Diceros bicornis minor: one gene and its partners. The protein of the gene in region 1 interacts with the protein of each later gene in a pairwise test. Links are inferred from orthologs where the notes say so. Each region holds a gene or a part of one and is shown in the gene's direction. Other genes may lie near its edges.

Evidence for each region.
Region 2: the proteins of HSP90AA1 (region 1) and RPS3A interact in binary tests that used the Homo sapiens proteins (3 or more experiments, as listed by UniProt). The link is inferred for Diceros bicornis minor from reciprocal best matches to the Homo sapiens genes HSP90AA1 and RPS3A.
Region 3: the proteins of HSP90AA1 (region 1) and KEAP1 interact in a two-hybrid assay, tested with the Homo sapiens proteins (2 studies listed by BioGRID). The link is inferred for Diceros bicornis minor from reciprocal best matches to the Homo sapiens genes HSP90AA1 and KEAP1.

Annotation. Positions count from the first base shown.
Region 1 is NC_080763.1:46,924,681-46,934,266, reverse strand, and holds the start of HSP90AA1 (heat shock protein HSP 90-alpha), read left to right. Parts: upstream 1-5,008; 5' UTR 5,009-5,102; intron 5,103-5,656; coding exon 5,657-5,818; intron 5,819-5,910; coding exon 5,911-6,277; intron 6,278-6,640; coding exon 6,641-6,774; intron 6,775-7,088; coding exon 7,089-7,409; intron 7,410-7,626; coding exon 7,627-7,792; intron 7,793-7,979; coding exon 7,980-8,170; intron 8,171-8,275; coding exon 8,276-8,423; intron 8,424-8,641; coding exon 8,642-8,910; intron 8,911-9,260; coding exon 9,261-9,586. UniProt on the Homo sapiens protein: Molecular chaperone that promotes the maturation, structural maintenance and proper regulation of specific target proteins involved for instance in cell cycle control and signal transduction.
Region 2 is NC_080750.1:39,538,937-39,549,023, forward strand, and holds the start of RPS3A (small ribosomal subunit protein eS1), read left to right. Parts: upstream 1-6,339; 5' UTR 6,340-6,384; coding exon 6,385-6,446; intron 6,447-7,214; coding exon 7,215-7,318; intron 7,319-7,703; coding exon 7,704-7,891; intron 7,892-8,598; exon of another isoform or gene 8,599-8,671; intron 8,672-10,056; coding exon 10,057-10,087.
Region 3 is NC_080769.1:8,737,458-8,747,257, forward strand, and holds the start of KEAP1 (kelch-like ECH-associated protein 1), read left to right. Parts: upstream 1-6,072; 5' UTR 6,073-6,229; intron 6,230-6,332; exon of another isoform or gene 6,333-6,619; intron 6,620-6,726; exon of another isoform or gene 6,727-8,194; 5' UTR 8,195-8,241; coding exon 8,242-8,880; intron 8,881-9,800. Other genes in the region: S1PR5 (sphingosine 1-phosphate receptor 5), read left to right, coding at 675-1,871. UniProt on the Homo sapiens protein: Substrate-specific adapter of a BCR (BTB-CUL3-RBX1) E3 ubiquitin ligase complex that regulates the response to oxidative stress by targeting NFE2L2/NRF2 for ubiquitination.

The DNA of each region.
Region 1 (9,586 bases):
CTAAGTACCCCCAATTTTGTAGTTAGTCAATGGGAAGACTGGTTTGCTCTGCGGAAATCCACTTTCGGGCCAACTCTAACACACACATGGCCAGAAACGCAGGGCTGGACACGTCACTCCCCCTTCCCTCGCTCACAGAGTTCATCATTTCCTTTGGGGCCCTGCCCTCAGCCGTCCCCTTCCCCCTCAAGCAGGGAGCCTAAGACCAGCAGATGGGCACAAGTGCAGGACAGCATCACGGTGGTTCAATGGCTGCCAGCGCAGGTCACCCTATCTCCCATCCTCCATCAAGAGAACAACAGCGAGTCCATCCACTGAGAGCTCACTGTGTGCCAGGCACAACAGGCTTCCCTGGGATTAGTTCACGGCATCCTCCCACATCCTTACTATGATCATCCCTACTGTGAAGATGAGAAGACTGAAGCACAGAGAGGTTGAGTAGCTTGCTCAAAGTCACACAGCCAGTGAGTGGCAGGGTTGACACTCACAATCCAGCTGAAGATCTCTACTTTAACCCACACCATCCTCCTCCGAGTCAACTGTGCCTCTTTCCAAAGTATGTACCACTTAATTTTCCTATATAGTTATAACTGGATTCTGAATATTTCTCCAAGGTCTTTGCTAAACATCAATTGTTTTAAAAACAGCTTTACGAGGTATAATTGACATGCAATAAACTGCACACGTTTAAAGTACAACTTGCTATGTTTCAACATACACTTACACCTGTGAGACCATCACTGCACTCGAGATAGCGAACACACTCATCACCCAGTGTCCTCGTGCCCCTCGAAATCCCTTCCTCCCGCTCCTGTCAGCCCTGCCTCCCACAGGCAACCCCTGATCGCCTTCTGTCACTATTAATTAGTTTGCATTTTGTAAAATTTTATATAAATTACTGGCATCTTTCCCTCAGCATAATTATTTTGCATACAGAACATGTACCAAGATAGACCATATTCTGAACCATAAAACAAAATAAAAATGAAAAGACTAAAATCATGCAAAGTATGTTTTCTAACCACAATGCAATTAAATATTAGAAATCAATAACAAAAAGATATCTGGAGGGCCTCCAAATATTTAGAAACTAACACACTTATAAATTACCCATGGGTCAAAGAAGAAATCAAAAGGCAAATGAGGAAGTTTTCTGTTTACTTTAATAAACATGTATATAGCAGTTACCTGGGACAGTTCCAAACACAGAATGAGCTCAGTTAAGCCTCATAACCATATGAGGAAGACATTTTCATACCCATTTTACAGATGCTGAAGCAGAGGCACAGAGAGAAGAAGTGACTTGCCTGGTCACACAGGTAGGCAGTGGCAGAGCTGGGATTTGAATCCAGGCCCTGGATCCAGAGTCTGGGCCTTGTATCCTAGCTTACTGGGAGGACACTGAAAGATTTCAAATGCAGGAGGAAAACTGTCAGATTCCCCTGACAGCAAGATCACTTTGGGACAAGTTCAACAAATATTTAGGAGCTAAATCTGTAGGACTTAGAGATATATTAGAAATACAGAGTTGAGGAGGCAGGGTAGAAAAGGAAGAGAGTTGGGGGTAGGAGAGCAGGGTTTGGAAGGCTCGATGATGTGGATGAGCAGGTGTGGTTCATGCCAAGAGGAAGAGATGCCCACATCCTGAGAGCCTGTTCATATCAAGGGATCCACTCGGGCCAAGTGGGAAGGGAAATGGAGGTGGGAAGAGGTCCCTGAGGAAATGTGTGAGCTGAGGGTCCACTAGGACATTAAATAGGAGAAAAAGAGAGAGAATGCTGTTCCAGGCCGAAGGAACAGCATTTGCACAGCCCTGTGGCGGTAGATCACGGTGTGAGGTGTACAAAGAAGAGTGACAGGGAGCACGGTGGGACCCGAGGATGAACGGGTAGGTAGGGGCACCCTGCAGGGCCTGGCAGGCCTGGTTAAGAAGCTCTTTTTCTCCTAGGAGTGATGGGGTGTTAGCAAGTGTTTGAGGAGTGTGTGGAGGAGGGGACTGACAGGGTCAGATCTGTGTTCTCACAGCGCCCCTTGGCAACAGGCGGGAGGCAGACCAGAGCAGACTCAGGAAGCAGTCAGCTGGCTATGGAGGTCTTCCAGGTGAGCTGATGGTTGTGTGGGCAGGGGTGAAGGCCCGGGGGGGGGGGGGGGGGATATGAGGATGGAGAGAAGTGGATGGATTCATAAAGTATTTAGGAAGCAGAAGTGGCAGGGCTCACGTCAGATTCCCTACGGGGTGTTTGGGGTTCTAGAAGGTCGTGGGATAGTCACCTGGCTAGTGAGCCCTAGAAGGCCAGAGAGGTGGGGGAAGTGAGCTCAGCAACCAGGTCTGGAGCTAGAAGAGTCCTGGCTGGGGCTTTTCTGTGCATCATCCGCACATAGGTACTCTCCCAGGAGCTCCAGCAACAGGCCAGGGAGAGGGGGCGAGTCTGGAGGAGAGAGAGGAGCAGCCAGCGCCCGGAGGGAAACCACAGCATGCTGATGGTGGAACCAAGGCAGAGGTGGAACCAAGGCAGAGGTCTCAAGGAGGGCAGTGGTGGTTAGTGTGGAATGTTACCCAGAGGTCACGGGGGACCAAAAACGTCCTTGTACTTAGTAACTGAGGCGGGCAGGGCAGGGGAGAGCGGGAGGACAAGATTTGGAATAAGGGAGGGATATTGTAGGCGGAGCTTCCTGGAAAACAAAGGTTCCAGGAGTAGCCTTGGGGCAAGTTCTCTGGAGGAGGGGGGAGGTGAAGGCCTTAGAAACCGAGAATTTCACAGCTGGGGCTTTGAATGGCTCATCTACAAGAAATCTTAAACCTCCTGGGCAATGGCGTAAGTGGGATAGAAAGGAAAAAGTGGGTCAGGCCTCCAAGTCTAGAAAAGAGGAGGGTGGCTGGTGGGCTACGGGTGGAGGCGCCCGCAGCGGTGGAGACCTTAAACAGCTGATGGTGGCCACAAGGAACCCACAGCACTACTGCCCCTCCCCCTCCTCCGCCCGCCCCCCAACCCCCCCAACCCCTCCCAACCCCCGCGCCGAGGCGTCCGGACACAGCTGGAGTCAGAAACACATTTTACGTGCCCCAACAAATGCATAACAACCCTCACCTACCCTTACCATGTGGCTTCTAGTTCCCATTCAATTTTTCCCATTTTAACGGTAGTCAGGACGCCCTACGTTATTTCACACACTCCCAGTGGGTCTCAGGCCCCAGTTTGAAAACCCCGTTCCTGGAAAAGCTGGGTTTCCCCAGGGACAAGGAAGTGGAGGCAGCGTTCAGTCAAGTCTGTTTACATCGTAAGGAGCTTCCAGATTGTTCCCGAAGGCTCGGTGTGTAGCGGGGGGGAGGGGGAGGAGGAGGAGGAGGAGGAGGACCAATGGTGGGAGGAGCTAGAGACAAAGGAGCCAGAGGAGGGCGGAGGGTTTCCGAGGGAAAGGCCGTGGGCGGGGCAGGGGTGCTCTGCGCGCTGGGCCTTAGTTTCTCCAAACGGGAAACACCCTGGATCTTGAGCTGGGCGATGACTAAGGACCCCTGTCCCTCTGAGACTTTTACAGCTTGGTCTGGCATTGTTCAAAACACTTAGAATTCCCATTTAGAAGGTGGCTTTGGGGGCAAGTTAATCACCCAACCCATGAATTAGATACTTCATATACAGATCTCATATTACGTAAAATAAGTAAAAAAGATGGGCTTTACAAAATCATGACGGGTGTAGCTAGGTGAACACGCATTTGTTCACCAAATCTCCGAACTCCAGACTAAGGGACCCTCAAAACGTGAAGGATGTAGTTTTATGGCAAACCGAAGGTAGATAGAAATCCCCAAGAGACTGAACAGACTGCGCACGGGTTTGGAGAATTTGCGATTGTGTAAGTGTCCATTTCAGCATTTCCTCCTGTGTAGGCGTAAGGACGGCACCAGCCCCGCAATTTGGGCAGTGGCCAGTGTTTGGGGCGGGGGGCGGACCCTCAGAAGTACCAGCTGGCGCTCCTCGCTCCCTGTCCCACTCGGCCTCAGAACCAGCTGCCTGGAGCCCCACGAGGTCCCGGCGGCTCCCCTTGTCCAAACGTGACTTCCACTTCCGTTGGGGGGGGGGGGGCTCCCATCTCATAAAGGCAGAAACCAAGGATCGGCCTTGCCTCCCCAAGCGCATGCCCTGGTCACCTCTCACAGCCCATCATGGACGGGCACCGCTGCACCCGCTAACCAGGCCAAGCGTCCCGGGCCTCCGCACATCGAGGCTCTCGCAGGGGCCTGTTGCCCGAATTCCAGGCCTCGGAACCCATAATCGCTGCCTAGGGCGAACAGATGCGGACCCGTACCCCTAAACCCGGCTCTGGACCCCCCAATCGCTACCCCGGGCCCTCAACTCCTAAACGTAGCCCTGAGCCTCTCTAATCACTGCCCTAGACGTATTAATGCGGCACCTGACCCCTCACCTCTGCCTCGAGCCCCTAAACAGGGCCACAAAGCCCTAAACCTGGCCCCGGGGCCCTGGTCGCTGGCACTGGACCCCTGACACTGCGCTGGCGGGCCCTCGTGCTGGGGGACCCGAAGCTTTCACAGCACCAGGACACTCTTTAAAAATTAAAAGTTGACTTGCGCGGATTTCATAAAAACACGAGCAGGGGCACTCAGCCCCTGACCACACTCCCCGGGCCTGCACGGCGCCGACGGCGAGGGACCGCTAGGGGTGCCGTTCAGCACGTCCGGGAGCGCGCAGGGCTGGGAGCGCGGGCTCAGGATTGAGCTGTCGGCACGGGGACAGGGCTGGTCCCCGAAAGCGCGAGACCTTCCCGAGAATTCCGGACCGCGCAGGCGCACTGAGGCGGGCGCGGCGGCGCGCGGCGGCCGTTGGGGGAGGGGCGCTCAGGCCGTTGCTGCGCGGGTCCGCGCGCGCCCGGGAGAGGGGCGGGCGGCGGCCAGGGCGCAGGCGCAGGCGCGCGGCCGCGGCGGCGGTTGGGGAGGGTGCTTCCGGAAGGTTCGGGAGGCTTCTGGAAAAGGCGCCGCGCGCTGGGCGGGCCCGCCTCTATATAAGGGAGGCGCGGGGGCGGCGCGCCAGTTGCTCTTGCGTCCTGGTGCTGCGTTGTCGCGGAACCCGTACGGTCCTTTAGCCGAGGTGAGGGGGTGGTTGGGGGGTCTCCGGGGAGGAAATGGGGTTCAGGGGACGGGCAGGCGGGCGCAGTCTGCGGGTGGCGGGGTTCGCTCCAGCCCTGGGAGCCCCCCGGCCCGCGGGCGTGGGGGCGGCCGTGGTTTCCTTTCCGAGGCCTCAGGCCTGCGGCGGCCCCGACCCTCCCGCCTCGGGAGCGGGCGCGGGTCGCCCGGACGCGCTGCAGGAGCGAAGGGGCTGCCGGGGGCGGCGCCTCCCGCGGCGGAGGGCCGTCCTCCCCGCCCGGGAAGGCGGCTCGCCCAGGCCGCCTCCGGCCGGCCCGCGGACCGGGGGCTTCGCGGTGGGGCCGGGACCCCCGGCTGCGGCCCAGTCGCCCGGCCTCGGGCCGCCTCGAGGCGCGCGCACGCTCCTGTGATCGCAGCGCGAAATGAGGTCATCCTTTGTCGGCCGGCCTCCTGCTTTCAGTTTTCCTCAATTGCGCTCTAAAAATACCTGAAGGCGGGTGAGGCTTGCGCCGCTGTCGCCGTCCTGCGGCGTGTAACGTGGCACGGTGTCCTTTCCAGATGCCCGAGGAAACCCAGACCCAAGACCAGCCGATGGAGGAGGAGGAGGTGGAGACGTTCGCCTTTCAGGCGGAAATTGCCCAGTTGATGTCATTGATCATCAACACTTTCTACTCGAATAAAGAGATATTTTTGAGGGAGCTTATTTCAAATTCATCAGATGTAAGTCTCATTACCGTAGAACTGGGTTTTGAGGTTTCGGTATTAACTTCACCATTTAGGGGCTCGGTGTTTAATGATCTGTTTTGTAATAGGCTTTGGACAAAATCAGGTATGAAAGCTTGACGGATCCCAGTAAACTAGACTCGGGGAAAGAGCTGCACATAAATCTCATTCCGAACAAGCAAGATCGAACCCTCACCATTGTGGATACCGGAATCGGAATGACCAAGGCCGATTTGATCAATAACCTTGGTACTATCGCCAAGTCTGGGACCAAAGCGTTCATGGAAGCTTTGCAGGCTGGTGCAGACATCTCTATGATTGGCCAGTTTGGTGTTGGGTTTTATTCTGCCTATTTGGTTGCTGAGAAGGTGACCGTGATCACCAAACATAACGATGATGAGCAGTATGCCTGGGAGTCTTCTGCGGGAGGATCGTTCACAGTCAGGACTGATACAGGTAGGCACCTGATAAAGCATTTCCTGGGTGAGCCAGTCACGTGGAGGGTGGGGTGCTGTAGGCGTGGGACCCCTGAGGATGCAGAGAAATTTGTGAAAACTTGTATCTGCTTGGTATAATAGGAGGCAAGCTGGTGAGCATGTGGTGGTGTAGTAGCGTGAGCTTGTGGTTCTGTATGGTGGGCAAAGCAGTTAACTAGTCTGGGACTCTTCCTATCTATAGTAACGGTAAACCACGTCTCCTGGACTTGTTCACAAATTGTTAGGTATGGTGTCCAGAGCTGAATTGATTGTATGTACTCTTTGTTTCCTTGGTTTGGCTGTTAAGATTGGAATTGAGTCAATTTCTCTATCTCCTTTTCAGGCGAACCAATGGGTCGTGGCACAAAGGTTATCCTGCATCTGAAAGAAGACCAAACAGAGTACTTAGAGGAAAGAAGAATAAAGGAGATTGTGAAGAAGCATTCTCAGTTTATTGGCTACCCCATTACACTGTTTGTGAGTTTGTGTGTATCCTGTATGTAGAAAACTATAAGTGATTTAACTGAAATCCTTACTCCTTAGATTTGCTGATAAGGAAAAGACCCAAACGTGTGTTTACTGGATTAGTCTGAATTCTTTTTAGTCTCACAAGGTACCAGGTACCCAGAGGTGTTAAGTTAGATCCATCAGATACTAATGAGGAGTTTCTTGGCTTCTTAATGTTTCCTAGCTTGGCTCACTAATTTAGGCTTTGGTATAAGCGTGCCCACTCCATTTCGCTTTTTTTAGTTCTGGAATGCAGAGGTGATGTGATTTTGTGTTTTTTGAAGGTGGAGAAGGAACGAGACAAAGAAGTCAGTGATGATGAGGCTGAAGAAAAGGAAGACAAAGAGGAGGAAAAAGAAAAAGAAGAAAAGGAATCAGAAGACAAGCCTGAAATAGAAGATGTTGGCTCTGATGAAGAAGAAGAAGAAAAGAAAGATGGTGACAAGAAGAAGAAGAAGAAGATCAAGGAGAAGTACATTGATCAGGAAGAGCTGAACAAAACAAAACCTATTTGGACCAGAAATCCTGATGATATTACTAACGAAGAGTATGGAGAATTCTATAAGAGCCTGACCAATGACTGGGAAGATCACTTGGCAGTGAAGGTGAGTCACTGCTGAGTGCTTCAAAGCTAGTCTACCTCTGCAAGTTGTTTCTCTGAAATCGTTAAGGGCTGTTGCTGGCAGCTTTTCCATCCCAGCCCCTATTCCCTCCCCGAAAGTGCTTTATGTTGTGTAATTAAGGTGTGTGTGTGTCAGGTTAAGCAGCTTTGAGTGAAAGTTGCTTGCACTGTGTGCTGATTTAGTGTGTATTTTATTACAGCATTTTTCAGTTGAAGGACAATTGGAATTCAGAGCCCTTCTTTTTGTCCCAAGACGTGCTCCTTTTGACCTGTTTGAAAACAGAAAGAAAAAGAACAACATTAAGTTGTATGTTCGCAGAGTCTTCATCATGGACAACTGTGAGGAGCTAATCCCTGAATATCTGAGTGAGTATGGTTGGGTATAAGGAATGATCACTGTCACTGGTTAAAGAATTTTATTCTGTCAACTCCAGATCTTCAGTATAATAAGCATGTGGGACGAAAAGTGGCTTATCTTTGGTTTTGGGGGTGTATTTCTTTGTGAATTTTTGTCCTTAGAATGATTGAGTGCATTTGGTCCTTATTTTTTCAGATTTCATTAGAGGTGTGGTGGACTCGGAGGATCTTCCTCTAAATATTTCCCGTGAGATGTTGCAACAAAGCAAGATTTTGAAAGTTATCAGAAAGAATTTGGTCAAAAAATGCTTAGAACTCTTCACTGAACTGGCAGAAGATAAAGAGAACTACAAAAAGTTTTACGAGCAGTTCTCTAAAAATATTAAGGTTGGTATAAACACATTCGATCATTAGTAGCTGTAGTCAGATAGGCTTCTCAAATTTCAAATGATTTTTAACGCAGAAAATGTCTTCCTAAAATTTATTTTTCAGCTTGGAATTCATGAAGACTCTCAAAACCGGAAAAAGCTTTCAGAGCTGTTGAGGTATTACACATCTGCTTCTGGTGATGAGATGGTTTCTCTCAAGGACTACTGCACAAGAATGAAGGAAAACCAGAAACACATCTATTACATCACAGGTAACGGACAATAAATGGTACAATCACATCTTGGTTTTTTATAACCTCGTAGGAACTTTGGGGGTGTATTCTACCTATATAAGTTAGGTATTGATGAAGGCAAGATAGTTAACATGAGCTAGCCCATCTCTATGGTTAGATCTGACTAGACAGGAAAAGATAAAAGGAAATGAAACCATTTCTGTCCAAGGTCTAAAAGTAATTTTCCACTTTCTCAGGTGAGACCAAGGACCAGGTAGCTAACTCGGCCTTCGTGGAACGTCTTCGGAAGCACGGCTTAGAGGTGATCTATATGATCGAGCCTATTGATGAGTACTGCGTGCAACAGCTGAAGGAGTTTGAGGGCAAGACTTTAGTGTCAGTCACCAAAGAGGGCTTGGAACTTCCAGAAGATGAAGAAGAGAAAAAGAAACAGGAAGAGAAAAAAACAAAGTTTGAAAACCTCTGCAAAATCATGAAGGACATCTTGGAGAAAAAAGTAGAAAAGGTGTGTAAATAACAATGTTTTCACCTACATTTCCTGATTGACTCTTCTTAGAAGCTGTTAGATGTTTTTCCAAATGTATCATACACAGTCCCTTTCTCCTCATAAGGTCTGGAATAGAAAACTTGAGCCTTTCCATTTAGTAATGGCTATAGCTTGTAAGATGGTTAAAGACCTGAAAAGTGTAGGAGAATGTACAGGAAGAAAACTGTGAATACGTAAATTTGCAAGTAGTATTTTTGATCCATGAATACTTGGGTTCTTTAGATTTATTTCATAATAAAGTTGATTAGGTGGAACTGAAAAGTTAGAAACTTCTTAGGCCTAGTTATCACTTAATTCTTTGATTATAGGTGGTTGTGTCAAACCGGCTGGTGACATCTCCATGCTGCATTGTCACAAGTACATATGGCTGGACAGCAAACATGGAAAGAATCATGAAGGCTCAAGCCCTAAGAGACAACTCGACAATGGGTTACATGGCTGCGAAGAAACACCTGGAGATCAACCCTGACCATTCCATCATCGAGACCTTAAGGCAGAAGGCAGAGGCTGACAAGAACGACAAGTCTGTGAAGGATCTGGTCATCCTGCTCTATGAAACTGCACTCCTGTCTTCCGGCTTCAGCCTGGAGGATCCCCAGACACATGCTAACAGGATCTACAGGATGATCAAACT
Region 2 (10,087 bases), on another chromosome or scaffold:
CCTGCCCTCTTGGGTTTTTATGGAGGCTTTGTTACATAAGCATGATTGATTAAATCATTGGCCACTGGTGACTGAACTCAATCTCCAGCCCCTCTCCCCTTCCCAGACGTCAGTGGGGTAGGACTGAAAGTTCCAACCCTCTAATCACATGGTTGGTTCCCCTAGCAACCAGCCCCCATCCTCAGATGTGGTTCAAAAGTCACCTCATTAACATAAGACACCTTTTTTTTGGGGGGGATGAGGAAGATTGGCCCTGAGCTGACATTTGTTGCCAATCTTTCTCTTTTGTTGCTTGAGGAAGACTGGCCCTCAGCTAACATCTGTGGCAATCTTCCTCTATTTTGTATGTGGGACACTGACACAACATGGCTTGATGAGCGGTGTGTAGGTCCACATCTAGGATCCGAGCCCACAAATCCTGGGCTGCCAAAGCGGAGCATGTGATCTTAACCACTATGCCACCTGGCCAGCACCCAAAAGACACCTTTATTTCTCTCTCGGCTCTTAGGAAATTTCAAAGGTTTTTGGAGCTCTGTGCCAGAAATGGGGACAAAGACCAAATACATATTTCTTACTATTGTGGAATTGAAGAAAGATGGGAGTCTCTCATGTTAAGGCACTAAAATGGAGCTGGGGAGACATGAGAGGAGAGGAACAAATTCCACCTTCAGGATGAACTCTTGAACTCATTAGATGCCTGAAATGAATCTGCAAGTTTTCTCTAGGAAGATAAGATTATCGGGACAGAGACCTCATTCCTGTCAAAGGTCATCTTCTACATTCCTAAGTTTTAAAGGCTTGTTTCAACCAATCCTCATCCCATGACTACCTTGAGCCTGGAATTTTTTAAGACATTCCTTTCCCTTTTTTTTTCTTTGCTTTTGTTAGCCATGACTATAAAACCTTTCCTCTTCCTTCAAGGCTGGAACACAATTCAAGTGCTGCCTGAATCTGTGTTCCTGGGCTGCAGTCCTAACAAACCCTGAAAAAACTTCATTTTATTTAATCTATCAGAGTCTACCTCATAAGTGGTCAACATTATAAATCACAGTATCACAGATGTATTAAAGAGAATGGAGGTTTCCATGAGGAAGGAGAAGGGAAAGAGAGCTGGAACCACCAGAGTATGATATTTGACTATAAAACTGCAGGATTGGCATTTAAAAATTTTAAAAAGATCAAACATTGGGATATTTCATGAATAATATTCACTTTAGAAATTATATCTTTAATTTTTAAATAACAGCTTTATTGAGCTATAACTCCCATACCACAAAGTATACCTTTTATACCATAAATTGTATACCTTTTAAGGTATATAATTGAATGTTTTTAGTATATTCATAGAGTTGTGGAAACATCCCCACTATATAACTCATTTTTATATTTATTTAAAAATTATTCATTTTATACTTAATATCATAGGAAACTCAACAAGAACAGAAGAAAAAAATAATGCCACCCTAATACAAGGATGTTGATTTCCTCTGAGTCTGGAATAGATGGGCTTACCAAATAACCTGGGAGATTTTATTTTTATTTTATCTATTTATTTTTATTTTTTTTGGTGAGGAAGATTGGCCCTCAGCTAACATCTGTTGCCAATCTTCCTCTTTTTTCTTCGAGGTAGACTGGCCCTCAGCTAACATCTGTCCAATCTTCCTCTATTTTGTATGTGGGACGCTGCCACAACATGGCTTAATGAGTGATATGTAGGTCCATGCCTGGGATCTGAACCCATGAACCCTGGACCCCAAAGCAAGTGCACGAACTTAACCACTATGCCACTGCGCCAGCCCTTCAGGGAGATTTTAAACTGGTAAAGTTTCTTGTTTTTGATATGTCTTTTTTCACTGCATTTGTCTTTTGTATAGTTATAATCAAGATGTACATAAATTTTGTATCCTGCATTGACCACTTTATCATTAACATTTTCTATATGTCTAAATAATGTTCATACTCATAATTTATAATGGCTGTATAACCATCTACCAAGTGGATGTGTCATAATTTACTTAACCATCCCCTTATTTTAAAGATTTAGGTTATTTCTAATCTTCTAATTTCATGATTAAGACTCTGTATATTATCTTTACACATTTAGGTTTTTTCCAATTTTGGATTATTTCCTTATAATATATTTGCAGACGGCATCAGGACTTTGACGGCTGTTGAATCATACTGTTAAATTACTTTTCAAATCGCTTATCATTGTAAAATAACAAGTACAAATGAGAGAGCACTGATTTCACTGCAATCTGGTTAGGACTTAGTAATATCATTTAAGCATTTTAAATAATGCCATCAGTAAAAAAACACCTAAAATTTGCATTTATCAGGATGATGAACAGATATAGAATTTTAAAATTTAAGATAACAAAGTAAGATTTCCTTAAATTTCTCCATCTATGAGAGAAATTTCTAACCATGAGCTAAATAAATGACCTACTATATCCCAAGCTCCCAAACTAAAATTCTATTTAAAATGCTATTCTTTTTAGTAAGGAATTACTTGTCCAAAAGAGAAGAGAGAGAGAAAAAAAAAGGAATACACAATATAAACAAATACCAAGTTACTTTTGCCCTAAGGGTACTTCTTGGTTTCAGAAAATTGGAACATTTATTTGGACAGCCACTCTGGGTGACAGGGATATGAATCTAATCGCAGGTCCACAGAACATGTGAAGTCTAACAGGACATCCTCCTCTCAATAAACTGTGACCTTAAAGGGGTACACCCTCAAGATAAGAGCTGAATCCAGAGTAGCACAGCTCCTAGAAGGAATTACAGCTGGGTCTGAACTTCCTGGGTTGCCCAGGAAGCCTAAAGCCACAAGCTGTTAAATGCCTGCAAGACTCCAGCAGAAGGATATGTATATCCTTTCTGGAAGAGGGCATCTTCACCCTAGGCCTCAAATTATTCCCACAAATAAGTTTTCAAATGCAATAAGCAGTGCAGAAAGATAACTAGGAATTTAAGAAAACTAGACTCTATGAGGGAGAACTAGCACAAAAATAGACAACAGAAACAGACCGGCAGAGACTTCAGATACTGAAACTATCATACAGTCACTGTAAAACAATCATGGTTACTGGGTTTAAATCTATATTGAAGATACCTGCAAAGAATAAGAAACTACAAAGTGACATAAATTAAAAAAGAAATGGAACTTTTAAAAATAAAAAACACAATAATCAAAATTCAAAAGTCATTGGATGGATTTAATAGTCACAGATGAAAAGAAAATTAATGAAACAAAAGTAACACCTTACTAGGTTTGATATATTGTTAAATTTTTCTGTTCCATTTTATTCTATCTGAATTTCGAAATTCTCAGATAGTTGAGACCCAATAAATTGTTTCACACCCTCTATGCTATCTTTTCTTCTCCTGTTTTCCTTTTTTTTTTGAGGAAGATTACCCCTGCGCTAACATCTGTTGCCAATCTTCCTCTTTTTTTTCTTTTTTTCTCCCCAAAGCCCCAGTACATAGTTGTGTATCACAGTTGCAGAGTTGTAGCTCTTCTATATGGGACGCCGCCTTAGCATGGCTTGATCCGCTGGTGAGTAGGTCCGCACCCAGGATCCGAACCAGTGAACCCCAGGTCACGGAAGTGGAACGAGAGAACTTAATGGCTACACCACCGGGCCAGCCCCCTATGCTATCTTTTATTCAATATAATTAAATTAAAACTGATGATTACACCATTTAACCTAACAGTATCAGGGAAACAATTTTTTTTTTAAAAAGCTTTTATTACAAAACAAAGTTGAAGGCTGAAATACCTACCTCTGACAAATCCCTTAGGTGCTGGTGTCGCTAGAACAAACTAGATGCAGCTGACTTCATTAATGCCTCCCCTGTGGCTTTTTCACTCTTGGGCAGAAAGAAGAATCAGACCAGGAAAAAAGTAAGTTTGGTTTTTATTCTGGAGTAGGTATCCTGGGGTCTACAACACTTTTCATCGGTAAAGCTTTAAACTAGTGAACTGCCACCTATGAAGTACACACAGTCCAGGTTACTGTAAGTATAGAATTAATACAGAGTTTATTAGACTCAATATTATATTTGGAAGGACTCATTGATTTCACTGGTCACTAGTTTTCACCAGTCTGCAATGAGACAAGAAAAATAACATTTATGAAGTTTCTCATAAAGCTGATTTATTTGTTTAAAAGAGCTGACTTTTCAGATGATACGTCCTCTATTTTTATTTTGGGGGTCAAAATATAATTTTAAAATGAAATGATGCTGATAGTAAACAGCAGTTGTTTTTGTTTTCATTTTATAGCTTGGTGAAATTTAAAAACTGCAGTCCTGGGCCGGCCCCGTGGCTTAGCAGTTAAGTGCGCATGCTCCGCTACTGGCGGCCCGGGTTTGGATCCCGGGCGAGCACCAACGCACCCCTTCTCCGGCCATGCTGGGGCCGCGTCCCATATACAGCAACTAGAAGGATGTGCAGCTATGACATACAACTATCCACTGGGGCTTTGGGGGAAAAACAAATAAGTAAAATTATTAAAAACAAACCAAACAAAAAAAAACTGCAGTCCTGTTGGTTCCCAAAATTATTGTGAAAATCTGGGTTGATCCACCAAGTCCAAAAGAGTGGGAACACCACTGACGGCATCTACCTCTTCTTTGTTCATCCAACAAACATTTTCAGGGCCTACTATGTGCTAAGAGATGGGGCACAAATAAGAAAACGACTGCACTGTATGCCCTCCTGCTCACAGTGAGAAAGGGACACTTTTCAGCAACAGCTACAAGAAGTTGTGTAGTGCTAAGTCTTCCAGGAGCGGGTCTGAGGGAGAGCCTGTCTGTCTGGGGAATCAGTCTCTTACTGAAAGAAGCAATGAAGCTGACTGTCTTGAAAAATGTACAGCTATTTGCCTGCTGATGAGGGAAAAAGAGTGAAGGCCAGAGAAAACTGTTTCGTCCAGGGAATTTTAAATAGTTCTAGATGGCTGGAGTTGGGGTACCTGGTAAAGGCTAAAAGGTGGTAAGGATGAAGAGGGATGAGTAGGGCCAGATAGAAGAGTTTTTGTAGGCTTGCTAAGGCTTTTGATTTTTTTAATTGCGGTAAAAAAACACGTAACATAAAATTCACCATTTTAACCATTTTTAAGTATACAGTTCAGTAGAGTTAAGTATACTCATAGCATTATGAAATAAGGACTTGGACTTTACCCTGTAAGCAACTGAGATTAATGGAATGATTGAAAGATTTCAGGACAGGATTGGAGATCGAGGAAGATTGTTTTAGAAGGTGGCGGTGGGAGCGGGGCGGGGGTGGAGGCTAGAAGGGCTGGAAGGTATTACAGGCTTTAAAGGCTGTGGGGGCATTGAGAGAGGGAGTCGATTTCTGGCTCTGTCATGGGTTTTCTTGCCAGAGGGGAAGTCAGAGAAGGGAACTCACAGACCTCTGGCTGAGGACCAAGCTCGTATGCGCCAGCTTTCCGGGGGCTGCGCATTTGAAGCTAGCGGGCCACATCTAGGCCGCTATCTTGTTAAACCCCTACAATTAAAAAAAAAAACAAAAAAAAAACCTGTTCTTGGATTAGTTGCAAAAATTGAAAAATTTGGGGATTTTCACACAAAATAATTTCCAGCTTTTCTGGAAAAATCAAAACATCTGGGAACGCTGGACCCAGAGTCCCTCAGGGAAACAATCAGCTGAGTTCACTCCACCTTTTTTTTTTCTTTCAATGTTATAGCAGCGTATAAGAAATATAAAGAAAAATACACAAATAAGTGTAGCTTGATGGATGTTCACAAAGCGAACGTACCCCACTAACCAGCACCCATATCGACAACCAGAACGTTACTAGTATTTCCGAAGTGATACTTATTTAACCCTACTAACAATCTTATGAGGTAGATTATATTACTATCTCCATTTTTAATTACGGGGAAACTGAAGCATAGGTCATAAGGCTTAATATTGCTGAAACTACCATTTGAACCTGGATCCGCTGTTTGATTCCAAATCCCACGCTTCGAGAAACAACACGTTTGAAAGTGAGACGGCGAGTTCAGCTTTGAGCGACGTTGACTGGGCCTTTCCTTCCACAGAAACTTACTTCCGGTCGTCGGAGCCACGGAAAGCCCCGGCAACCAGAAGGCTGCACCTCAGGCCGCCAGAGCGCCCCTCTCCGGAGCGCACCCTCCCAGGGAGCGGCCCGCCACATGCTGCGCTGTCTCCCCACACGCGAGGGCGCTGGCGCAGTTCCAGTCGGAAGAGTGGCCCTTTCTGTTCTCGCGATATTTTTGAGGCCGGGAAAACGCAGGATCGAAGGTCACGTAGACGGCGCGCCCCGCCCCGTACAGCGTAAGTTCTCGCGCGAGTTGTACTTCCGCCCTTTTGGCTCTCTGAGCAGCGCCATGGCGGTCGGCAAGAACAAGCGCCTGACGAAAGGCGGCAAAAAGGGAGCCAAGAAGAAAGTGTAAGTGGCGACTGTTGTGTCCCCCGGCTTTTTGGGGTCCTGCTGGTGTCGGCGGGCGGGTTCTGGATCGCGGCGAGGGGCGGATGGCGAGGATGCCAGTTGGATTGCTCGGGCCGTGCCGGGTTGGTAAACGCCGAACCGCGGCCTGGCGGATCTGGGTGCTGCGTCGCGGCGGGCCGGCTCCCTTTCCCCTGGCCTTCTGGGTCTTGTGCGCTCCTCTTTTCAGCCACATTGTTCTCGTGACTCGAGCCCGGCATGTTCCATATTGCGTGCTCACGGGCCTCGTAAATTCCACGGGTAATCGCTGCCACTCCAGGAGCTGGAGTTGAGGAAGGCACGCTTCTTGTCCACCCAGGACCCTACACTCCTCCTCTGCTTGGGCCGGGTGGAACCTGGGAGATCCTAATAGGCTCGCGTGAGGCCCTGAAGAGCCTGGGTTACCAGTACGTGTCTTCATGTACCAGTAAAGTTCGAGAGATGTGCATGTTATTTGGAGGCATTGCTGTCTGTGTAGTCGAAGGACCGATGGGGGTGGGGAGTGTGTACGTTTGTGGCATAGTTTTCTCAAAGCATCCGGTCTGTACGGTGAAACAGACGTAGTGGGAAGAGCTAAATTTACAAATGCGCCCCTCACCTCACTGTGAGAGAAATAGTTTACTCTGGTGTCCACATGCCAGTTAGCCCTTTAAAATGATCAGAATGAGGAGAGTAAAAAAAATCAAGAACTACGTGATCTGCGATAAAACCTAAGCATTTTTTTAAATCCAGGGTTGATCCATTTTCTAAGAAAGATTGGTATGATGTGAAAGCACCAGCTATGTTCAATATAAGAAATATCGGGAAAACGTTAGTCACGAGAACTCAAGGAACCAGTGAGTATCTTATTCTTGGTTTGTATTTTTCTTAAATTGAGACGTGTGTATGTTGGTCTCCTGTTGGTCCTGGTGAGACTTGAAGGAAATGTCAGCTCTTGGTTGCAGCTTTGGACCTCGTGGTGCTTGTTTTTTGGTACAACACTTGTAGAAGCATTGTGGTGCTTTTAGAATCACTAAGAAAATGTGCATGGGTAGTTTTGTGCTTCTAATGAGCACTGTCAGTAAATTATTGGTGTCTAGATGGACTTGGTTAAAAAAGTTAAGGTGTTTATAATTTACCATTAATTTAATAATCTCAACTTTATGTATGAGCATTATTTTATTTGGCTTGACTTTGCTTTTGTGGTTCCTAATGTTAAGACAATTGATTCTTGTTTTATAGAAATCGCATCTGATGGCCTCAAGGGTCGTGTTTTTGAAGTGAGCCTTGCTGATCTGCAGAATGATGAAGTTGCCTTTAGAAAATTCAAGCTAATTACTGAGGATGTTCAGGGCAAAAACTGCCTAACTAACTTCCATGGCATGGATCTTACTCGTGACAAAATGTGCTCCATGGTCAAAAAGTGGCAGGTGAGAACAGAAGTTTTAGAGTGCATGGTCATGTGGCTGGCATGACCAAGAATGTCATGGTGTAATGACAGGAAGGAGCAAATCATGTGATTGAGGTTTAGGTTTCATTTTAAATCCTGGATGTTTTCTTGCTATTATTGAGTGCTGACTGTGGGATTGTCACTCCTGAACTTGAGCAACAGCTGAGCAAGCCATGTTCCTCCTATTCGTTTAAATTGAGTTCAAGATTTAATCCTGGGTTATCGTCAAAGTTAGTTTTCTTGCTGCATGTATTAGTGGCTGGTTGGGGTCTAGGTGCAGGTTTGCAGTTTTCGCCTATCTTGAGAATATCTTTAGACCTCGAAACTCAGTGAATTTTATAGTGAAAGGGTGGATTGGGCTAGTCTTGATTACCTCTGGTAATATAGCATAATAGGAGTGGGAGAGTCTCTGGTGTGAGGTTGAAATCTTGGCTTCATTTCCCAGTTGTGTTCTCTTTGGCAAGTAACTTAAAGCTTCCTAAGCCTTAGTTTCTTTATCTGTAAAATGTAGGTAAGAGTATCATCTCATGGAGTTATGAGGATGAAATAAAAGATCCATTTAAACATGCTTAGTATAGTGCTTGGCACAGAAAGATTTAGTGAACAGTGGTATTATTACAGGAAATAATTACATTGGTTCAGATGTGTCTGGCTAACCATCCAGTTTGGGGATATTTTGTATGTGGGAATGAATGATGACAAGATGTTTCGGTCCCAGATGATACATACTGATTATACCGTTACATTTATTTCTGACATTCCCCTAAGGTTTTATGGTTGCATTTCTGGAAATATTTAAGATCCTTTGGCTATCATTGTATTATATTCATTTTTTAAACTGAGGTATAAAATTTACAAAATGCAAAGAAGACAATTCAGTCACTACCTGAGATTGTTCTTTTCTTCTGGTGAGGAAGATTAGCCCTGAGCTAACATTTGCTGCCCATCTTCCTCTACTTGATATGTGGAATGCCGCCACAGCATGGCTTGAGTGGCGTGTAGGTCTGTGCCTGGGATCCGAACCTGCAAACCCTGGGCCGCCGAAGCTGAGTGCACGAACTTAACCACTATGCCACCTGGCCGGCCATAAGATTGTTTTTTAAGTTTAGGCAATAATATGACTAATTATGGATATTTTTATTCTGTTTTAACTGTGAAATTGAATATTTAATCCTAGGCATGGATTTAGTTTGGAACATAAAGACCATTTAAAAATATGTGCATTTTAGTATTGTTACAACAACATTTCACCTATTCAGAACACATTTTTTAAAACGGTGGAGCAGGGCCGGCCCCATGGCGTAGGGGTTAAGTTCAGTGCACTCCGCTTTGGCAGCCGGGGTTTGCAGGTTCAGATCCTGGCGGGGACCTACACCACTCGTCAGTTATGCTGTGGCAGCGACCCACAAAGAGGAAGATTGGAGGGGCCAGCCCAGTGGTGCAAGCGGTTAAGTGCGTGCGCTCCGCTGCAGCGGCCCGGGGTTCGCCGGTTTGGGTCCCGAGCGTGCACCAATGCCCTGCTTCGCAAGCCATGCTGTGGCAGTGTCCCATATAAAGTGGAGGAAGATGGGCATGGATGTTAGCCCAGGGCCAGTCTTCCTCAGCAAAAAGAGGAGGATTGGCAGATGTTAGCTCAGGGCTGATCTTCCTCATAAAAAAAAAGAAAAAAACAAAGAGGAAGATTGGCACAGATGTTAGCGCAGGGCTAATCTTCCTCAGCAAAAAAAAAAGAAGTGCAGATGTCTTTATTGTAGAGTCTCTCTTAGAACCTGTTTTCCTCTTATCTTGCGGAGTTGTACAGTTGATTAGAGGGGAGGGCAGGCTGTTAGAGGCTGGCATGTATATGTACAAGGTGTGGAGTGGATGCTGTTGATACAGTGATAGTGGGGATAGAGAAGTCACCTAGAGAGGAGGAGGGAAGACAGTTGAGAGGCTGTGGTATTTATTTAATTGGATATGAAGGATAGTAAGGATTTGGGGTAATGTAAGATTACAAGGAAGTTAATTCTGTAAATTAGACATGTAACTTATGCTTTATATTGTGTGATGAATACTTGATCTTCCAGCTTTTTTATATTAGAGTTTAAGGGATGAAATTGATAACATTAAAACCTGGTGTGTCTGACAGTGTCTTCTTTTCACTAGACCATGATTGAAGCTCATGTTGATGTCAAGA
Region 3 (9,800 bases), on another chromosome or scaffold:
GTCTGCCGCCCTCGGGCTCTGCTCTGTCAAATGGGTACCCCGGCTCAGCTTTCTCACCGGGTTTTTGCGGTGGATGAAGGCGTTTTGGCAGGAAAAGCCTGTGTGCAGCGAGGCGTGTAGACTGTGGGGCTCTGGGCTCCAGGCTGGGTGTGGGTGGAAGCTGTGAAATTGTGGCCTTCGCCACTGGGTGTGAGACCCCATTTGCGTGTGCCCCAACTTGTATGTCTCTGCTTGTGTCGCTCTGTCCCTGTGTGAATGTATTTTCATGTCTGGGCTGGGACTGCATATTTTTTACCTACTTTGACTATGTGCGTACATGTGCTTGTCGGTGTGTCACTGTATTTGTGTGTCCCTTCCTGTATGTGGCTGGATTTGCGTGCATTCCTGTGCCTCTGGATATCCCTCCTTGAGTGTGAATTATTAGTGTCCCTTTCCTGTGGGACTGTGTCACCCTGTCCCTTCGTGATATATTTGTGTGTCTTTGTGTCAGCCTGTCTCCAAGGACACCCCCCTCCAACCCAAACTCCCTCTGGGCCCCCACGCGCGTGTCCGGGGTGGTGGCTAGGGTTTGAGGCGCCTTTCCCAGGGCTGCGAGGCCCCGCCCGTGCCCGCCTCCGCAGGCCGCGGGGTCTGACCTGCACCTGACCTCTCCGCAGACTTGGGGCGGGCGGCCCATGGAGCCGGGGCTGCTGCGGCCCGCGCCGGTGAGCGAGGTCATCGTCCTGCATTACAACTACACCGGCAAGCTCCGCGGTGCGCGCTACCAGCCCGGCGCGGGGCTGCGCGCCGACGCCGCCGTGTGCCTGGTCGTGTGCGCGCTCATCGTGCTCGAGAACTTGGCGGTGCTCGTCGTGCTCGGACGCCACCCGCGCTTCCATGCGCCCATGTACCTGCTCCTGGGCAGCCTCACGCTGTCCGACCTGCTGGCAGGTGCCGCCTATGCCGCCAACATCCTGCTGTCGGGGCCACTCACACTGAAGCTGTCCCCCGCCCTCTGGTTCGCGCGTGAAGGCGGCGTCTTTATGACGCTCGCCGCGTCGGTGCTGAGCCTCCTGGCCATCGCGCTGGAGCGCCTCCTCACCATGGCGCGCCGGGGACCCGCGCCCGCCGCCCGTCGGAGGCGCATGCTGGCGCTGGTGGTCGCCTCCTGGGGCGTGTCGCTGCTCCTGGGGCTGCTGCCCTCGCTGGGCTGGAATTGTCTGGGCCACCTGGACTCCTGCTCCACGGTCCTGCCGCTCTATGCCAAGCCCTACGTGCTCTTCTGCGTGCTTGTCTTCGTCGGCATCCTGGCCACCATCTGTGCGCTCTACGCGCGCATCTACTGTCAGGTGCACGCCAACGCGCGGCGCCTGCGGGCGCGCCCGGGGGCTGGCGGGGGCGCCGGGAGCCGGGCGCGCCGCACCCCGCGCTCGCTCGCGCTCTTGCGCACGCTCAGCATAGTGCTCTTGGCTTTCATGGCCTGTTGGGGCCCCCTCTTCTCGCTCCTCTTGGCGGACGTGGCGTGCCCGGCGCGCGCCTGCCCCGTGCTCCTGCAGGCCGACCCCTTCCTGGGCCTGGCCATGGCCAACTCGCTTCTGAACCCCATCATCTACACGCTCACCAACCGGGACCTGCGCCACGCGCTCTTGCGCCTCCTCTGCTGTGGTCGCCGCCCCTGCGGTCGAGGCCCGGGCACCTCCCGGCCGTCGGGGAGCGCCGCTGAGGTTTCGGGCGGCCTGCACCGCTGGCTGCCCCCCGGCCTGGGCGGCAGCTCCAGCCGCTCTGAGCGTTCGTCGCCCCAGCGGGACGGGCTGGACACCAGCGGCTCCACCGGCGGCCCCGGCGCGCTCACTACCGCCCAGACCCTGGTGCCTGCACCGGCCGCAGACTGACGCCCTCCGGCCCGCCGCTGCCTTCCTGAGAAATTATTTTTGCAGACTTTTTCTCTTTAAATAAAGGAATTTGTAGGAAAAGCAGCAGAAGATGGTGGAGGCAGAAGAGACGCGGGGCAATGTATTTTATTGATGCTAAACGCCACGGCAGTGATCACAACAGACAAAATCGCTGCCCTTCTGAAAGTGACCCTCTGGTGGGGACACAGGCAATAATGGAGTGACGAAATAACGGAGATAATTCTAGTGACAATACAGTGACGCGATGGCGGTCAGGGGATGCCTCTCTGAAGAGGGGGTAACATGTGATGTGAGCTGAGACGTCATTGTCCTGGGAATACTCGAAGGAAGAGCATTTCAGGGTGAGGGAACAGCAGATGCAAAGGCCCTGAGGCTGGAATGTGCCTGTGTGTTCTATGAAAAGCAAGGATCCCGATGTGCCTGGAGCAGCAATGGAGGGGGGAGAATGGGAGGAAACAAAGGCAGAGAAATGATGGAGCAGGTGGCCCAGGGGTCCACGGGAGGCCTTTGCTTTTGCTCTGAGTGAGATGGGAGCCATAGAGGGTTCTAGGCAGAGAAGGGACTTGACCTAGTTCAGATGTTCACAGATCTCTGTGAAGGGGGAAGGTGGAAGCTACGAGAACAAGGCGAAGGTGACTGCACTGGCCCAGGGGAGCGATGACGGGGCCCCAGACCATGTGGGTTAGGGGTAGATTTTGGAGGCAGCAACACAATTACTGAGGAATTGAGTGTGGAAATGATGGAAAGAAAGAAGCCAATCACAGCTTTCCAGTTTAGGGGACCACCAGACAGGGCACCCTAAAATTTGACTCTGGGAGACTCAACCAATTCCTATCCGAAACAAGACTTCTTTGAGTGTGGTGTCAGATCCTTCATACAAAATAAAAATATAATAAAATAAAAACAATGACGGCTTTTGTGCCTGGCTAGTCTCCCCACTGTGGCAGGCCCAGAACACACCTTTTTCCTACCCTTACTGCAACCCTGCAATGTGGGTTCCTGTACCCCCATTTGACAGAAGAGGAAACTTCAAGCCTTGTCCCAGTGTCTGAGCCAGGCTCCCAGGTCCCAGGAGGTGCAGGCCTGCTGTCTGGCTCCTCCAGAGGGGTCTGGCAAGGCCCCCTCCCTTGGGGGTCTGCATTCTGGGCCGGGGGCGATACCAGGGCCCCTTTTATGCCCAAAAAAGGCTCCAGGCGCGCTGGCCGCGGCCCCTGGCTGTCCCCAGGCGCATTCCTGACCCCTGAGTGGCAGGGCCGGCCCGGGGGAGGGGCGGGGGGCTCCGGGCTCAGACTGCCGCACGCCACCTGCCGGGAGACAGCGGAACTGCAGGCAGCCGCAAAGACGGGGGCGGGGGGGTATTTTGGGGACCACCGACTCAGCCTGGGGGCCTGAGTCTCCACGGGCCACGCGTGGCAAACCGACCTACTTCCCGGAACACAAACACACTGAAGCCTGGGGTCACCGTCCCAGGACACCCCCAGGACTGGACCCAGTTCCCCACCCGGCCTGGCGCCCCAACCTCCAGGCTCTTCCCGGGGAACCTGAGACACCCCAGCCCGCTATTCGGTTGTTTGATGGTGTGCTGGTAGGAGCTTTATTCACTTGTTCATATTCTAGAAAAGCCAGAAAGCACTAGTTCCCCTTCTTGGAGTCCATCACTGTGGGAATTCCCGGGAATCTTTCAGAGCTGTGCTGTGGATAAAGGAGGTGAAATGTAAACACATCTTTTTACAGAACGTCAGCGCTGCTCTGCATCTTGCTTTGTTCACTTAATAATGTATCTTGGAAATTGCTGCACACCCGCAGATTTTTTTGTGTGTGTGAGGAGATCAGCCCTGTGCTAACATCTGCCAATCCTGCTCTTTTTTTTTCTGCTGAGGAAGACTGGCCCTGGGCTAACATCTGTGTCCGTCTTCCTCCACTTTATATGGGACGCCGCAACAGCATGGCTTGCCAAGTAGTGCGTGGGTGCGCGCTTGGATCCGAACCCGGGAACCCCTGGCACCGCAGCGGGGCCCCCCGAGCTTAACACCTGCGCCACCAGGCCGGCCCCACATCCACAGATTTTGTAGTGTCCTGCTGTCCTAGTCTGCTCCGGCTGCCCTAACAGCATAGCCTGGGTGGCTTAAACGAGACATTTATTTCTCACAGTTCTGGAGGCTAGAAGTCCAAGATGAGGGTGCCAGCTTGGTTGGGTGCTGGTGAGGACTCTTTTCCTGGCCTGCACATGGCTACCTTCTTCCTGTGTCCTCGAGTGGTACAGAGAAAGCAAGAAGCTCTCTGATGTCTCTCTCTCTCTCTCTCTCTCTTTTTTTGCTGAGGAAGATTCTCCCTGAGCTAACATCCTTGCCAATCTTCCTCTATTTTTTATGTGGGTCACCACCACAGCATGGCTGATGAGTGGTCTAGGTCCGTGCCTGGGATCCGAACCTCAAACCCAGGCTGCCCAAGCAGAGTGCCCTGAATTTAACCACTGGGCCAGCCCCTGATGTCTCTTCTTATAAGGGCACTAATCCCATCATGGGGGTCCCACCCTCATGACCTCATCTAACCCTAATTAGCCCCCTATCTCCAAATACCATCACATTGGGGGTTAGGGCTTCAACATAAAATTTTTTTTTGGAGGGGGAGCACAATTCAGTCTGTAGCACTTCTTTTTTACATTTTTAAAAATCAAGGTAAATTCGTAGAGCAAATGTCTTGCTCCTTTTCACTGGCTACATAGTATTTCACAGCATGGATGTGCCGCCACTTAGCACACCAGGGCCCTAGGGAGGGACATGTGGGTTGAGTGCAATCTTTTGCCTGTAAGCACAGGGTGGAAATAAACATCTGTGTACATACATCCTCCTGCACGTGTGCGAGTGTACCTTGGATAAATCTCTACAAGTGTCACCGCTGGGTCACAGGACCTGTAGATTTGATGTTGAGAGATATGAGGGGTTGCCTTCTGGCGTGTTCGAGCAGGATGCGGGTTTCCGCACAGCGCGACTACGCCATGTCGACCCCTCTGGAGCAGTCCAGAACTGCAGCCTCACGCAAGAGAAATCAGGGGCCAGGTGGGGAACCCCGGCCTCCCATTTAATCCCAGACACTGAGCAGGGACCTTGAATCCTCCAAATTCACCCGGAAGGTGGACAGAATCCTTTCTTACACCAACCTCTGTTCAGTCTAGCGTTTCTTCTATTATTCACTTAGTTTTCATATAGATGGACTCTTTTAAAAATAATCTTACATTTATTGAAAAGTTAACTTTCTAGCATAAACAGCATAAATGGCAAATCAGTATCCCTTGTCATGAAAAATAACAATCGTTCATATTATTGGGCGGTAGCATGGGCATTTAGTTCTCCCGATAACCTGGCGGGTAGCTGCTCGTATTGTTACCAATTTATTTATTTATTTATTTTTGTGAGGAAGATCAGCCCTGAGCTAACATCCATGCTAATCCTCCTCTTTTTGCTGAGGAAGACGGGCTCTGAGCTAACATCTATTGCCAATCCTCCTCCTTTTTTTTTTCCCCCCCAAAGCCCCAGTAGATAGTTGTATGTCATAGTTGCACATCCTTCTAGTTGCTGTATGTGGGACGCGGCCTCAGCATGGCCGGAGAAGCGGTGCCACGGTGCGCGACCGGGATCCGAACCAGGGCCGCCAGTAGAGGAGCGGGCGCACTCAACCGCTAAGCGACGGGCCGGCCCTATTGTTACCAATTTATAGGTTAAGCTACAGGCCCACCGGCAGGGAGCTAGAGATTGCCAGAGCCGGGGTTCGAACCTGCGCAGACGAGCTCCACGCGCCTCTAGATTGGAGGTACCTAAAAAATAAAGACAAGGAAAACCGAACTCAGTAGATAATTCTAGCTGGATCCTGCGGCCGCCGGACCGTGAGGCCTGTGTTAAAGGAGGAGTGAGCCGTGGAGAGCAGCCCTGCGCTGAGACCACGAAATAGGGCGGATGGAAGGGACGGTGCCAGGGGGCGCCTGGCCATGCGGCCCCACCCGACGCCCCGCTCCTCGCCCCTGGGCGCCGGGCACCTGCGGGAAGGGCGGGGAATCGCGGCTCCTTCCCCGCCGCGCCCTCTCCGCCCTCTCCCCGCCTCCTTCCCGGGCGTCCCGAGGCCGACCCCCACCCGACGGCCGCGACCCCGCAGGCCTTGCGGCCCCGGAGCCGAGGTCCCCCGACGGCAGAGGCGCCCGGGGGCCCGGACAGCGACGATTAGGCGGGAGCCGCCCCCGGCCGGGCCGCGGCCCCTCGGGCTTCCCGGAAGCGCGGCGCGCGCGTGACACCACGGTGCATCCCCCCCGCGGCGCGAGCCACCCGGGCTGCGCGGGGGCCGAGGTGAGCGCGGCGGCGGCGGGGAGGGGTGTCCGCCGACCCCGGGTGCGGACTGGGGCGCACGGGCCTCGAACCCGAGGCCGCGATTCCCGGCGGCTCGGACCACGCGGCTGGGTGCGCCGAGGGCTGCGGTCCCCCGCCCCGCCGCGCCGCCAGGACGGGCGCTGTGGTGGCCGCGCCGGGGCTGCGCAGCTGGCGACATCCGGCGGGGGCGGGGGGGGGACGGCCCCTCTGTCGTCCCCGGGGCCGCGGGGACTTTTATTGTGACACGGCCGGCGCCGGGCTCTGCTTAGTCATGGTGACCTGCGCGCGCTCCGCGCCTCCCCCCGGCGCAGCGATGGAGGCGCCCGGGCCTGGGCGACGGAGGCGGAGCCCGAGCGCGGCCATGGCGGGGTGAGTGAGGCGGCCTGCGCCCGGGCTGCGGGCACGGCGGGCCGCGAGCGCCCCTGCGGCCGTGCCGGGGGCCGGGGGTCGGGCCGCCGCGGGCCCGGTGGCCTCGGGGTGCCCGCGGCCCCGCGGAGGGCCAGGAGGGCGCGGCCCGAGTCCTGTCCTTTTGTTGGACGGCGCGACCGGCGGGGTGGCGCGGGGGCGACGCCAGCCGGGCGGGAGGCCCGGGGAGCGCCGCTCCGATGGAGGCCCCGGGACCCCGGGGCGTTGGGGGCTTGGCGTGCGCCCTGGGGTTGGCAGTGGAGAGGCCGCGGCGGGGTCACTTCCTCCCTGCTCCAGGCCTCGGTGGAGGCTCCGACGGGGCATGCGCAGTCCCCCACTTACCGCTTCGTGGTGGTTGGGGGGGAGTGCCCAGCGCACAGCGGGCACCGTTGATCGATGGGCCAAAGACCAAGAGGCAGGCCCGGGGCCTCCGCCGTGGCCTGGTGGAGGAGGGTGCCCTGGCAGGCGCGGGAGAGCGGGCAGCCCGCCAGCCACACGCTCACTGACCCCTGCGCGGTGCCAGGCCCCAGGCCGGACGTGCGCGAGGCACATGCGAGGGTGGGCACAACGCTGACCCCCACTCCCTGCCCTCCGATGCGCGGGGGCGAGCGCCAGAGGGCCGGGCCAGCCCTCACCAAGTGAGCAGAGGAGCTCCTTTCGGTTCCCGACGAGCGCGGGGATGGAAATAAAACAGGCAGGAGGTGACTCTGAGCTGAGCCCCGGAAGGATGAGATGCAGAACCTGGGGAGCCTCTGCAGATCCCCCACTTCTCCCTGCGGGGCCTTTCAAAGCACAACTCACGCCCTGGCCCTCCAGACGCCGCGGGTTTCATGGAAACCCTCCCTTCAAGAGTCATTGTCTCTCCTTACATCCCTTCCTCATTCTGCCTCTGAGCCTTTGCACTTGCTGTTCCCTCTGCCTGGAACACTAACTCCCACCCACACCCCCTTCATATGTTCATCCTTGTTGTCTCGGCTCCAACAGAGGCCTGGACGACCTGACTTTAAGTAACTGCCTCCAGGTCACCCTGTCATTTTATTTATGGCCCTTTGCTCCCCAAGTGTCTGTTCCAGGGGGGCACAGTTTATGTCTGTCTTGCTCACTGCTGTGTCGCGGGTGCCTAGAACAGTGCCTGGCACACAGTAGACACTCAATAAATGTTGGCGAGGTGGATGAAGGATGAGCTGGACATGCTCTAGGAAGGGAAGGGCCACCAGATAGCAGGAAGAGAGTGAGCAAAGGGAAGAGGTGGAGAAGGGCTAACTGCAGGGGGCTTTGCGGGTCATCGAAGAGTTCGGTTTTTACTCTTCATGCCATAGGGAGTTGTGGGGGGATTCTGAGCAGGGGAAGGACATCATCTGACCTGTGTTAATTTTAAGAGGGACCCTTGGGCTGGCGACCCTTGGGACAGTTAGCGAGCCCACGTGGATGCTGCTGCACCGCGGCTTGGCAAGGAATACTGGTCTAGGGGTCGCTTTACCTTAAAAAGGAGGCCTGGCGCCAGGCCCCGCCCCCAGCCCTGTGCTCTCCCTCCTCCAGGCCCCTGAGTGCCAGTGGTGGTGTTGTCCCTTGTGGCCTGGAACCCCATGCAGCAGGAAGCCAGGCCTAGCGGGGCTGGGGCCCGCACCCGATTCCTGCCCCTGCGGTCACAGCGCCCCGAGGGGGCCGGGGACGCGGTGATGTACGCCTCCACGGAGTGCAAGGCCGAGGTGACGCCCTCGCAGCACGGCAACCGCACCTTCAGCTACACGCTGGAGGACCACACCAAGCAGGCCTTCGGCATCATGAACGAGCTGCGGCTCAGCCAGCAGCTGTGCGACGTGACGCTGCAGGTCAAGTACGGGGACGTGCCGGCCGCCCAGTTCATGGCCCACAAGGTGGTGCTGGCCTCCTCCAGCCCCGTCTTCAAGGCCATGTTCACCAACGGGCTGCGGGAGCAGGGCATGGAGGTGGTCTCCATCGAGGGCATCCACCCCAGGGTCATGGAGCGCCTCATCGAGTTCGCCTACACCGCGTCCATCTCCATGGGCGAGAAGTGCGTGCTGCACGTCATGAACGGCGCCGTCATGTACCAGATCGACAGCGTGGTGCGCGCCTGCAGCGACTTCCTCGTGCAGCAGCTGGACCCCAGCAACGCCATCGGCATCGCCAACTTCGCCGAGCAGATCGGCTGTGCCGAGCTGCACCAGCGCGCCCGCGAGTACATCTACATGCACTTTGGGGAGGTGAGCCCAGAGGGGTACCCGAGGGCGCTTGGGGGGCGGACTCGGAAGGACCCAGGACGCACAGGCGGGCCTCACCCTCTCCGCTGGAGATGAGAAGGGCCGAGGCGGGGAGCTGGAGAAAGATGGGGTTCTGAGCTCCTGGTCTACACATCTGGGGGGACGCCGGGACACGGCTGGGGACAGGGAGGCCTTCATGGGCTCCCTGGTTCCCCTGGGGTCAAGGGTGGGGACAGGGCGCAGTGAACATGACAGCAGCTCAACCTGGGGTTCACCGAGCAGGGCCTCACATTTCCGGCAGTCAGCAAATAGTTATTGAACCCCCCCCCCCCCCCCCCCCCCCCCCCGGGGACAAGCTGCCAACTGCCAGTGTGACCCTTCGCCGTGTTGTCTCTGGTCCCTGCAGTCTTGTCCTTCCGCACTGCTTGGTTTCATTTTCGTTTAGAAGTGGAGGAAGTTGTGAACAAAGATTATTTATCCGGGCAAATAAGCAGTGCCCTTCGAGCCCTGGCTCTGGGCCAGCCCCCGTGCTGAGTGATTTCCATCCTTGCGATCCCTGGATCTTCCCAACTATCCTAGGGGAAGTATGCTCTGGGGTGCCTTCCTGGAAGATTTCAAAGACCTCCTCCAGGGGCGGGGACCAGCTGGGGTGGCCGCTGCCCTGGTCCCCGTTTCTCTCCTTCCTTCTAGAGCATATGTGGGGTTGACGAGATGCCCCAGGGGGCTCTGCTGTTAGTCCTGGGGCCTAGTGCTCCCAGGAAAGTGGTCCCAGAGCGGGGCTCTCCCACTGGCCTGCCCAGCGTTTGTTTCAAGGGAATGCAGGTACCAGACGGGTGGTGACCTGCTGATGTGGGGTGACTGAAATTATGTGTATAAACCAGTGCCTGACAAATATTTCTCCAGGGCCCTAATACCCTGGGAGT